3 linked regions of the Schizosaccharomyces pombe genome follow. Changing the gene in region 1 together with any one later gene gives a genetic interaction. Each region holds a gene or a part of one and is shown in the gene's direction. Other genes may lie near its edges.

Region 1 (3,760 bases):
CAATTGATACATTCCAACTTGGGTTCTTGGACAACCACCGCTCAATCTACGTGTCGCATTTTCGATTTGAAGCATCCTGAAAACGATTTGTGGACTTCTACCAACATGGATCAATTTAGCTTTGAAAATGACAAAACCTCCTTTGTCGCCAAAAATTGCTCTGTCGTGTTGGAAGACCAAAAGCGTTACCGAATTCGTGCCTCCATCAACATGGACTCCATCATCGATATAACTGTCCATCAAGACGCTCCTCCTTTTAAAATCGGTGAAGATGGAAATTCTACTTATGGAACAGATCCTAGTAAGCCCTGGGCTTCCATGAAGCATACCTTTTGGCCTCGCACTCGTGTTGAAGGTAGCATCGTTGCAAGGGGTAGAGTTGTGGATGTCACTGGTCCCGGCATGTTTGTTCATGCACTCCAAAATGGCAAACCCCACCATCTTGCTTCATCTTGGGAGTTTGCCCTCTTGCAGCATAAAAAGTTTACCGCCATCATGATGCAGTTCAAGACACCCCCTAGCTATGGTTCTACTATTGTCAATATTGGTGGTATCGCTATGAAAGACAAAATTATTAGTGCAACTGTCGATAATACTATTGAGCACGTTGAGACCACACTCGATCCCGATACGGAATGGCATGAACCCACTCGCATTTCCTACGAATGGGACGGAAAGGATGCTGAAACATACACCGAAGATATTCATCTTTCAGTCGATGCTCCTTTGGGAAGACGTCTTCAACGCATCGACGTTCTTGCCGAGATACCATCTTGGCTTAAGGGTTTCGTCCATGGAGTCTCTGGAACGAAACCTTTCATCTACCAATATTTCTCACCTGTCAAATTTACACTGAAGATGGGTGACGAGGTTATTGAAGATGAAGCCACGCTTTTTAATGAGACTACTTTTATTTCATAAGCATCTTTTAACAAAAATATTCAAGCATAAATAATTCGATGCATTTTGGGCTTAAACAAAGAGTGAACGTGCATCCATCTTTTTTTCAGAGCTTTTCTATATTAAACTCTCTGGTTTTGTATTCTTTTTTTCCTTTTTTTTGTCCTGTTGTTTTTAATTTCGTGTCTTCGAATTTTTTTTTCATACTATTTTTCGTTTTATTAAAATAACTTCATATAGACTTATCACTTATACTCTGAACTTGATAGTTGTGCTGCTCTCATATTGAATATGATTCTTGTTAATGGTCTTGTGCTACAAGCTCTGAAATTCATTCGTTCTCTTGTTTGTGTACTAAATCGATCTTGTCATCCTAATACCTATACTGATGGACATGGGCAAGGCATCTGGCAAAATTGTGCATTCGCTTATGTTTATTGAAAGACTGCAGTCTGTGTAAACGAGCGAGAATGTTTTAAAATTTTTTAAAAATTTGAATACTTTTCATTTTAGAGACTTCAAATAATATTGTTTTCATCATTAAGTGGATACTAATTAGCAACTTCTCAACTTCTATTTTATTTAAAAAACTAATTCATTGTAAATGTTGTATTGGTTTTCTACGAAAGCAGTTTTTCTATTATTGATAATTTCGCTTTTACCACTTTATAATAAAAAAGTATTGTATGTTTAATGTTTTCTAATATTTTTTTAATAAGTTTTCCTATGTTCCGATAAGAGCAGGCAGTGAACGCGTAAACAGATATATATGTATGTATTTATTATTAAAATATTATGTAAATAATTCTTAAAAAACCGAATCATTCTAGCATAAAGCATTGGAAACCAGTAATTCAACGTAACTGAATTTCACGGATTTACAAGCAAGTCGTACAGTCCTTTCTTCATTCAATAATATTGATTTAATAATAATATGTATATGCAATTTTCCTTTTTTTTTTTTTTTTTTTTTTAAACATTTTAAAATAAAGCATAGGCGTTTAATCATTTTTTATTAAAGTGCGTAACTTATGTTGTAAAAAACTACCACCTACTTTTCTCTTAAAACACCAGAATCTATAAGTGTAATGATTCCCCTTAACAACGAATTTAGAAGCTATCAATAGTATTGCGTCTGTTTTTATCAATCTCACAAACAATTATAGGAAGTATTCTGCTCGTGTGATTGTTCTTTTTCTTCTGGTAAAGATGAACATATGCATGTTTATTTGAATAGCTTAGGATTCATTATTTTTTAAGAGACAAATTTCTCGTCAATTGAATGAAACCTTCCGCCTTTATTTTCTTTTTGAATGGATATTTCAAGTTTTCTACTTCCTCAACTTTTACGTAAATATCAACAAGATGTGTATAATATCGCGAGCAAGCAAAATACTTTACTTGTTATGAGAACGGGCGCTGGTAAGACATTACTTGCTGTGAAGTTGATAAAACAAAAGCTCGAGGAGCAAATTTTAATCCAAGAATCAAATCTTGAACATAAAAAAATATCAGTTTTTCTCGTCAACAAAGTCCCTTTGGTATTTCAACAAGCGGAATACATTCGATCTCAACTACCGGCTAAGGTTGGCATGTTTTATGGCGAATTATCTATAGAAATGAGCGAGCAGTTGTTGACTAATATTATATTGAAGTATAATGTGATTGTTATTACTGCAGATTTGTTCTATTTGTTTCTTGCAAGAGGTTTTCTTTCAATAAATGATTTGAATTTAATTATATTCGACGAATGTCATCATGCAATTGGAAATGATGCGTATGCTCGCATCATGAATGATTTTTATCACAGAGCCAAAGCAGTATTGTCAAAAAAACATTTCACCCTACCAAGAATTTTTGGTATGACTGCTTCACCATTCACTGGAAAAAAAGGAAACTTATACCATCGACTGTATCAATGGGAGCAATTATTTGATTCTAAAGCACACGTGGTTTCGGAAAACGAGCTAGCCGATTACTTCTGTCTTCCCGAAGAAAGCTATGTAATGTATTCCAATAAGTTGGTTGTGCCACCCTCGGATTCTATTATCAAGAAATGCGAGGAAACTCTTCAAGGATGCAAGTTAATTTCTCGGGCTGTTAAGACTGCTTTAGCAGAAACCATAGATATGGGTCTTTGGTTTGGGGAGCAAGTTTGGTTATATTTGGTTGATTTTGTGGAAACGAAAAGATTAAAAAAAAAGGCTTTAGGGAAGCAGTTGTCAGATGACGAGGAACTGGCAATTGACCGGTTAAAAATATTTGTTGAAGATTGGAAAAATAACAAATATTCAGACAATGGCCCTAGAATCCCTGTTTTTGATTCCACTGATGTTACTGATAAAGTCTTTAAACTCTTAGAATTGTTAAAGGCTACTTACCGCAAAAGTGATAGCGTTCGTACGGTTATTTTCGTTGAAAGAAAAGCTACGGCGTTTACTTTAAGTTTGTTTATGAAAACTCTTAATCTGCCTAACATCCGCGCTCATTCTTTTATAGGACATGGACCGTCCGATCAGGGTGAATTTTCTATGACATTCAGGAGGCAAAAAGATACCCTTCATAAGTTTAAGACTGGAAAATATAATGTTTTAATTGCTACTGCAGTTGCAGAAGAAGGTATCGATGTACCATCATGTAACTTAGTTATACGCTTCAATATTTGTCGGACTGTCACCCAGTATGTCCAATCTCGAGGTAGAGCGAGAGCAATGGCTTCAAAGTTTCTAATTTTTTTAAACACAGAAGAGTTGTTAATTCATGAACGCATTCTACACGAAGAAAAAAATCTTAAATTTGCCCTTTCAGAGCTCAGCAATTCGAATATTTTTGATTCATTGGTATGTGAGGAAAGAGAACG
Region 2 (3,760 bases), on another chromosome or scaffold:
TCGTCCGCTAATCTTGTCTCGAACAATTTGAGCATCGCGAACAGGACCAGCTTGTTCGAAAAAATCATATAATTCCCTAGAAGTCAAACGATTTGCGAGTTGAGAAACGAACACAGTACGGCGATCACGCTCTTCCTCTGAAAGTTTAGAGGAGCGTTCACGAGGACGGGAACGACTTCTCTTACGCTCATGTGAACGGTCATCATCCCTCAAGTCCTCATAATCATAATCATGGGCTCTAGAAGAACGAGAGGAGCGTTCTTCATAGCGGCGACGACTACGACTATGCCGCGAAGAGTAAGGAGGGCTGCGTGAATAATCATCGTATCGATGGCGACTACGACTTGAGGGATGGCGGCTTCGACTTGACCTTGAACTGCGATCGCGATCGCGAGAACGAACGGGTGATCTACTTTGATGAGAATCTACAGAAGAGTGAGGAGAGGGAGAGCGACTACCATAATCGGACCTTGGACTATATGATCTCCTATGGTGTCTTGGGGTGCGATGACTTGAGGAATTTGTAACTACATCATCGTTATAACCGCTATCCTCTCGTTGAAAAGATTGTTTGGAAGATCTGGCGTACCGATAACCCATTGAAACGGGAGGAGGAGTTAGACGACCTTCACTTTCGTAATTTTTAGACACGGGTTTGAAAGAGCGATCATGCAACCGTGTAGGCGGTGGAGGAGGGTTAGAGGGATGACTATGAGTGGAAGAGGTGAGTGAGGATTCATGAAAAGAAGAAGATGCCTTTTGCTGATTTTCTTGATTTTGCGGCTAGGAAAAGGGTTAGTAAAAACAATAAACACGGGAAGACAAAAAAACAAAGGGAAAAGGCGGGAAGGAAGGAAAAAAATTGTAAACGTACCACTTCTTGCTTACGAAAAGGAGCCTCAGCCAAGGCTTCCGCGTCCAGCTGCATTTAGATTAGATCTGTTTATCTATGCGTGGAAAATACGTTCGTTTATTTTCGTTTTCAATACAACAAACTCTGACAGGATCGGAACAGACTTCGACTGGAAAACTAAGTAAGCTAGTAAAAATGGAGTTTTGTCAGTCTAGTAGCTTTCGTCGCTTCTAACACGAATTGTTTTGTTAAAAAATATTAATAATGAGTACTCTTTTGAGCTATTTTGTCCTCTTTCTTTCGGTGGAAAAAAAAGTGGAATATTCTACTGCCTAAGCGATAAAAGATGAGAGAAATTTTAGTACAAACAAAAAAGAAAGCGAGGAATAGCGGAATAAGGAAATTCCAAGCTAAAAACAATTACCGACAATAAGAAGCAAAGAAACGGAAAGGAAGGAAAACAAAATTATACCTAACCAAACCAACGAAAAGTAAATCACGAAAAGTTAATAAATTTCGATCAACTTAAGGTTTTCTCTTTTCAAGTATTTTTTCGCAAATAATAATTTTTAGTCTACTATGAATAAATCAATGAATTGTATCTGTAAAGCACTTCACTCGTCTGTTCTTTCCCTGTGTATAGGCCCTTGAGTGCAATTTTCTGGTGTTCAGTTTCGGAACCCGTTTTGCGATACGGTAAATATTGTTTTCCGTTGTCTTACCATTTTTCGGAAAAGTCGATCAAAAATAGCACGATTTTTTGGTTCGCCCCGCAATGCCTTTTTGCCCTTTCCTGCGACATATATAGGCTACTGCATCCACGCCACAACATCGTGCCATTAACGCAACACAAACAAAGAACTGACATTTTGATCAATTGGACAAAAATCCAAGTAAAGAATCATAGGATCAGTTGCTACGTTGTAATATTTACTGTATTTGTTTATCAAACTCATCAGAAACACGCTTGCTACAGTTTTATCACGAATTAACAATTCATACTCCCATCTCCAAAATGGCCTCTGTTACTAGTGAAAAGTGTGTTATCCTTTCTGACGGCACTGAATACGATGGTAAGTATTTAAACAAGGAGAAATGGCAGGGTGTTTGGGTTTTGAGAAGGAGATTTGGTTGAAGGACTAAAATTTTTTCTCGGCAACAGAGTGTTTGAGAGGCAATGTATAAAAAACAATGAAAACGCATATAGCAAAGGCTTATTGGCAAAAGATCCATTGTGGGAGATGTGCCATTTCTTATCTTTTTTCTTTGTTCGTTGTGCTTTTAACTTTTTTTCACCTTTCCCCCTTTGCCTTAGTTACACCAAAATACATGTATCGTTCTTTATACTAACATTCCATTAGTCACCAACTACTTGGTTGCCAACAAGGACGCTGCTGACTTGCTTCGTCGCTATCACCGCCAAGAGGTTGCTGATATCCTTAATGCTACCTCCAAGTCCAAGCACTCTGAAGCTGTTGTTGAGATCTTGAAAAGTGCTAAGGTTCCTTTGAAGAATAAGGAATTCAGTGATCTTGTCGACCAGAACATTGGTGTCGGTTATGGCAATGAATTCATTGTCAAGCCTACCGATCTTGACAAGGATTTCGAGAAGAACCATTTCCTTGACCTCAAGAAGCCTTTATTGCCCCAAATTTTGTTTGGTAACATCAAGAAGGATGTTTATTTGGACCAAGTTCACCGTCCCCGTCATTACCGTGGCAGCGGTTCTGCTCCTTTGTTTGGAAACTTTTTGGAGCCTCTTACCAAGACCCCTTGGTATATGATTCCATTGATTTGGGTTCCCTGTGTCACTTATGGATTCTTGTACGCCTGTACCGGAATTCCCTTCTCTGTTGCTATCACCTTCTTCATCATTGGATTATTCACCTGGACTTTGGTTGAATATACTATGCATCGTTTCCTCTTCCACTTGGATGAGTACACCCCTGATCATCCTATTTTCTTGACTATGCACTTCGCATTCCACGGTTGCCACCACTTCTTACCTGCTGACAAGTACCGTCTTGTAATGCCTCCTGCTTTGTTCCTTATCTTTGCCACTCCCTGGTATCACTTTATTCAACTTGTTCTTCCTCACTACATTGGTGTTGCTGGTTTCTCTGGTGCCATTCTTGGTTACGTTTTCTACGATCTTACCCACTATTTCTTACATCACCGTCGTATGCCCAATGCTTACTTGACTGATTTGAAGACCTGGCATTTGGACCATCACTACAAGGATTACAAGTCTGCCTATGGTATCACCAGCTGGTTTTGGGACCGTGTTTTTGGAACTGAGGGACCTCTTTTCAACGAACAGGGAAAGATCAGCACTAAGGCTAAGTAGATTGTGATTGCGTTTGAATCATTTAGCTGCTAAATTGCTTTCAAGGTGTTAAAAGTTTCTTTGGTCCTTTTTAACTATCAATAATTTTGTGTGCTATATAAATCTTGTTGTATTTTTCTTTTCTTTTTTAATTGCTTTCCAAATTTTTTCTCCTCTCTTTACCCTTGAAATCACTAAGCAATTTTCCCCCATTTTCTCTCTGACTTTAACTAGGCCTTATTATAGTGCCTTAAAGCTGTGTATTATATTTGAATTGCAGAAACATCAAATTTGATTTAATTTGATTGATCCACTCGCTAAAGCATCTTGTATCCCACATTGAAATTGTCTTGTCTTTCTTCTTTTCTATTAATACTATTTTCTGGTTTCTTTTGAACAAGTTTTCAAACTTTACCTTGTTAAGTCGAACTTAATAATATTATCTTGACTATCGGCTATATAATTTGAGTCTAAGGTTGCTATTTTATTTTTCCTTTTATCTGTCTTTTAAATATAATTCGAATTTTTAATTGTTTTTACCACCCCATCTGTTTGTAGTGCGAAATGATTTTCTTGTAGAA
Region 3 (2,832 bases), on another chromosome or scaffold:
TTTTTTAGACGCTGATAAGAACGATCCAACGCCTTACGATGTTTCAAATTGGAAATGTATATATATTTTAGCGTTGATGTAAGAAGCTGTACAACAACATATATGTAAGTAAAGTGTTTGGCAGCCGTCAATAAGAAAGTCGAATCACTGTGCGGTAAACCACATTAACGACATGAATGTCTCCGAATTACTAATTGAGAGGACGTTCCATGCCCTTAAAAGAGAATTTCTTTTATATGTGCATATCAGATATGATTAAAGTCGTAATGCCCATTAACAATATATAATGGTGACATTGATGTTGCTAACAGCTTTACACACATATCTCAATTTTACTTCACAGATCAGTTGGCTTTATAAGCACCATTGGAACAGTGCTTTTGCTTTTGCTTTTGCTCGTATAAGTATTAAGAGGAAATTACTAATATAAAACCTTAGTTTTTCATTTTTTTCCAAGTCCAAACATATTGTTTTTATACATTAGCTTCTCTTGATTACCGCCAATTTCTAGTCGAAAAAATTATTTTTTTAAGAAATCCTACATTTGCTGAGAAGAAATGTTGAAAACGTAGTAACTACACAGTGTACCACTATATTGTTGGATAACTTTGTAAACTCCAACGTACTGTTTTGTCATACTCTTATTGTCAACTTTAGAAGCAAGATGTAGAATTAATATACTTGTAAATAACTGAAACACCATTTTTGTCGAGACTTAACTTCAAATATATTGACAGGTGATTGCCTCTATTGCCCTCATTGGAATAGTGCGTTGAACAATCAGACTGTAGCCAGGCTTATGGGACAATAATTCCTTCTTCAATTACTTATTGCTTTAGCAAAGATAAAGTGATTAAATTGGCTAACCGTGACAATAATGAGCTTTAAGTCTCAATTACTTATCCTTGCTCAGAAGCTGTCGAAAGGTGGTATTTCTTGTGAGTTGATTGAGTTTGATGAGTGTATTTTGAAGTTAGAATGGCATACTGAGCTACTTGATAAAAATGATTCCTTATTATACGAGCAGGAAGAAGATGATATTTTAAGCCTTATGAATCCAATGATCACTATGCACGCCTGGATTAGGGATTCTCCATCCTTCGAAGTCCCGCAGTTCTTCTTTCAACCTTATGCAAACGGATCAGATCCTCTTACCAAGATGGAACAGATTTTTGAGTTATTAGAAGGATCCAGTCAAAATTTAGCATATGACGCTCTTGCTATTGGGGACTGTCCAGGTACAGTAGGCATAGCATGGTATATCCATCCATGTCGTACGCGTGATTATTTCGAAATGCTTCAGATAGACAAAGAGGATCCCAAGTATCTCTCTCTTTGGTTGCTATATATTCATCAAGTCCTTTCTCCGCTAACTCAGCCTATAATAAAAGCAGTTGACGATGCCGAAAAATCCTAAAGATAACCTGTTATAAACGGGTATGCTTGCTAAGACTTTGTCTTATTAAATATTATTCCCCATGATTAAAACTAAATTAAAAGTCAATTTAATCCGTATTCTCTGGTTTTAGTTTATAATACCCTGTGAATCTATAGTAAAATTTTGACCTGTTATTTGACAGCAAAAACATTACGGATCTGAAGACCTCAATTGTAGAAAATAGCTTTTGTTCTTTAAATTTGTAGATAAAATACTATACTAATTAATAATCCTTCTGTTTTGACATATCATTCAACTGTTCCACTTAAACCTCTACTTGACCGCATTGATCTCTACACCAACAATTGTTTGTTAAGACAAACGAAACCGGGTTATATACTATTCCTCCTAACACACCTTAGCAACAAATATGGAACAAGTTCCTGTTCTAGCAGAAGATCAAAGGAATTTAAATGAATTTTCAGTGTTGCATTCTCGAAAGGCCATTCAAGAACTTGATATTAAGAATTTAAAAACGCAAATAGAGGATATTGTTGACGCTAAAAATGAATGTGAATTACTAGACGAGGATGATGGAGACGATATTCCAGCTTTAAAGGTTGGCGATGCCTTTTTCCAAGTTTCCCTTCCTGTACTCCTTGACCAGCTTGAGCAGTCAGAAGAAAGTTTGGAAAAGCAAGTCGACGTATTAAGATCTTCCATGGAAAAAGACGAAACCCGCATTCAAGAGTTGAAATCAATGCTGTACTCTAAATTTCACGATCAAATTAACCTAGACTAAGATTTGGAAAAAGCAGCAAATCTCAAAATTAGAAGCTTCATCTTATTTTTCTGAATTAGTTTCTTTAATTAAATAACATTTCATGCATTTAAATTTATTCACAATACCAAATCTGTATGCAATTAGCGCCTCCAATAAGTAAACTTCTTTGTTCACCCTAAGCCATTACAAGTATCCAACCACCACTATGGCACATGAGATTGAAATTGACTCGGAAGCTGACCTAGGTCGTACAACATTTGAGGCTGAAGACCTTTATAAGCAGAGAACTCCCATTACAAAGCCTCCGGCCCCTAGATTACAATCTCGTCGCGCATCCATGCAAGAGACGCCATGGACCATCAAAGATTCATTTAACGTGGAAACTAAAGATGTGGTTCAACGATGTATACATACTCTTATTCCCACTGTAAATTTCTTTGATGTTGTAGATGATCGTCCCGATTTATACGGTCCTTTTTGGATAACCACTACGGTTATACAGGCTCTATTCTTTTCCAACTCAATTACCGAATACGCTCGTTATGCCACAGGGCATGGTACAAGTGGCTATTCTATAAAAAAGTTGATCTCTGCAGCATCAATTATTTATGGTTACACTACCATTATCGCCGTTTTGTTATGGGGTATCCTAGTGTGGAACAAATGCAAC

The links.
Region 2: mutations in dcr1 (region 1) and scs7 together harm fitness more than expected from each alone (negative genetic interaction), as found in Schizosaccharomyces pombe (2 studies listed by BioGRID).
Region 3: mutations in dcr1 (region 1) and pfd4 together harm fitness more than expected from each alone (negative genetic interaction), as found in Schizosaccharomyces pombe (2 studies listed by BioGRID).

Annotation. Positions count from the first base shown.
Region 1 is NC_003421.2:1,508,744-1,512,503, reverse strand, and holds the start of dcr1 (dicer), read left to right. Parts: upstream 1-1,946; 5' UTR 1,947-2,213; coding exon 2,214-3,760. Other genes in the region: ER to Golgi ceramide transport protein, lipocalin superfamily Svf1, read left to right, coding at 1-921. UniProt on the Schizosaccharomyces pombe protein: Required for G1 arrest and mating in response to nitrogen starvation. Ago1 regulation of cytokinesis and cell cycle checkpoints occurs downstream of dcr1. Required, indirectly, for regulated hyperphosphorylation of cdc2.
Region 2 is NC_003424.3:4,055,090-4,058,849, forward strand, and holds scs7 (ER sphingosine hydroxylase Scs7), read left to right. Parts: upstream 1-1,686; 5' UTR 1,687-1,868; coding exon 1,869-1,926; intron 1,927-1,946; exon of another isoform or gene 1,947-2,214; coding exon 2,215-3,200; 3' UTR 3,201-3,726; downstream 3,727-3,760. Other genes in the region: RNA-binding protein Rsd1, read right to left, coding at 1-783, 875-928. UniProt on the Schizosaccharomyces pombe protein: Ceramide hydroxylase involved in the hydroxylation of sphingolipid-associated very long chain fatty acids. Postulated to hydroxylate the very long chain fatty acid of dihydroceramides and phytoceramides at C-2.
Region 3 is NC_003424.3:504,176-507,007, forward strand, and holds pfd4 (prefoldin subunit 4), read left to right. Parts: upstream 1-1,733; 5' UTR 1,734-1,808; coding exon 1,809-2,180; downstream 2,181-2,832. Other genes in the region: atg10 (autophagy C terminal domain family protein), read left to right, coding at 878-1,417; yip5 (Rab GTPase-binding protein), read left to right, coding at 2,368-2,832.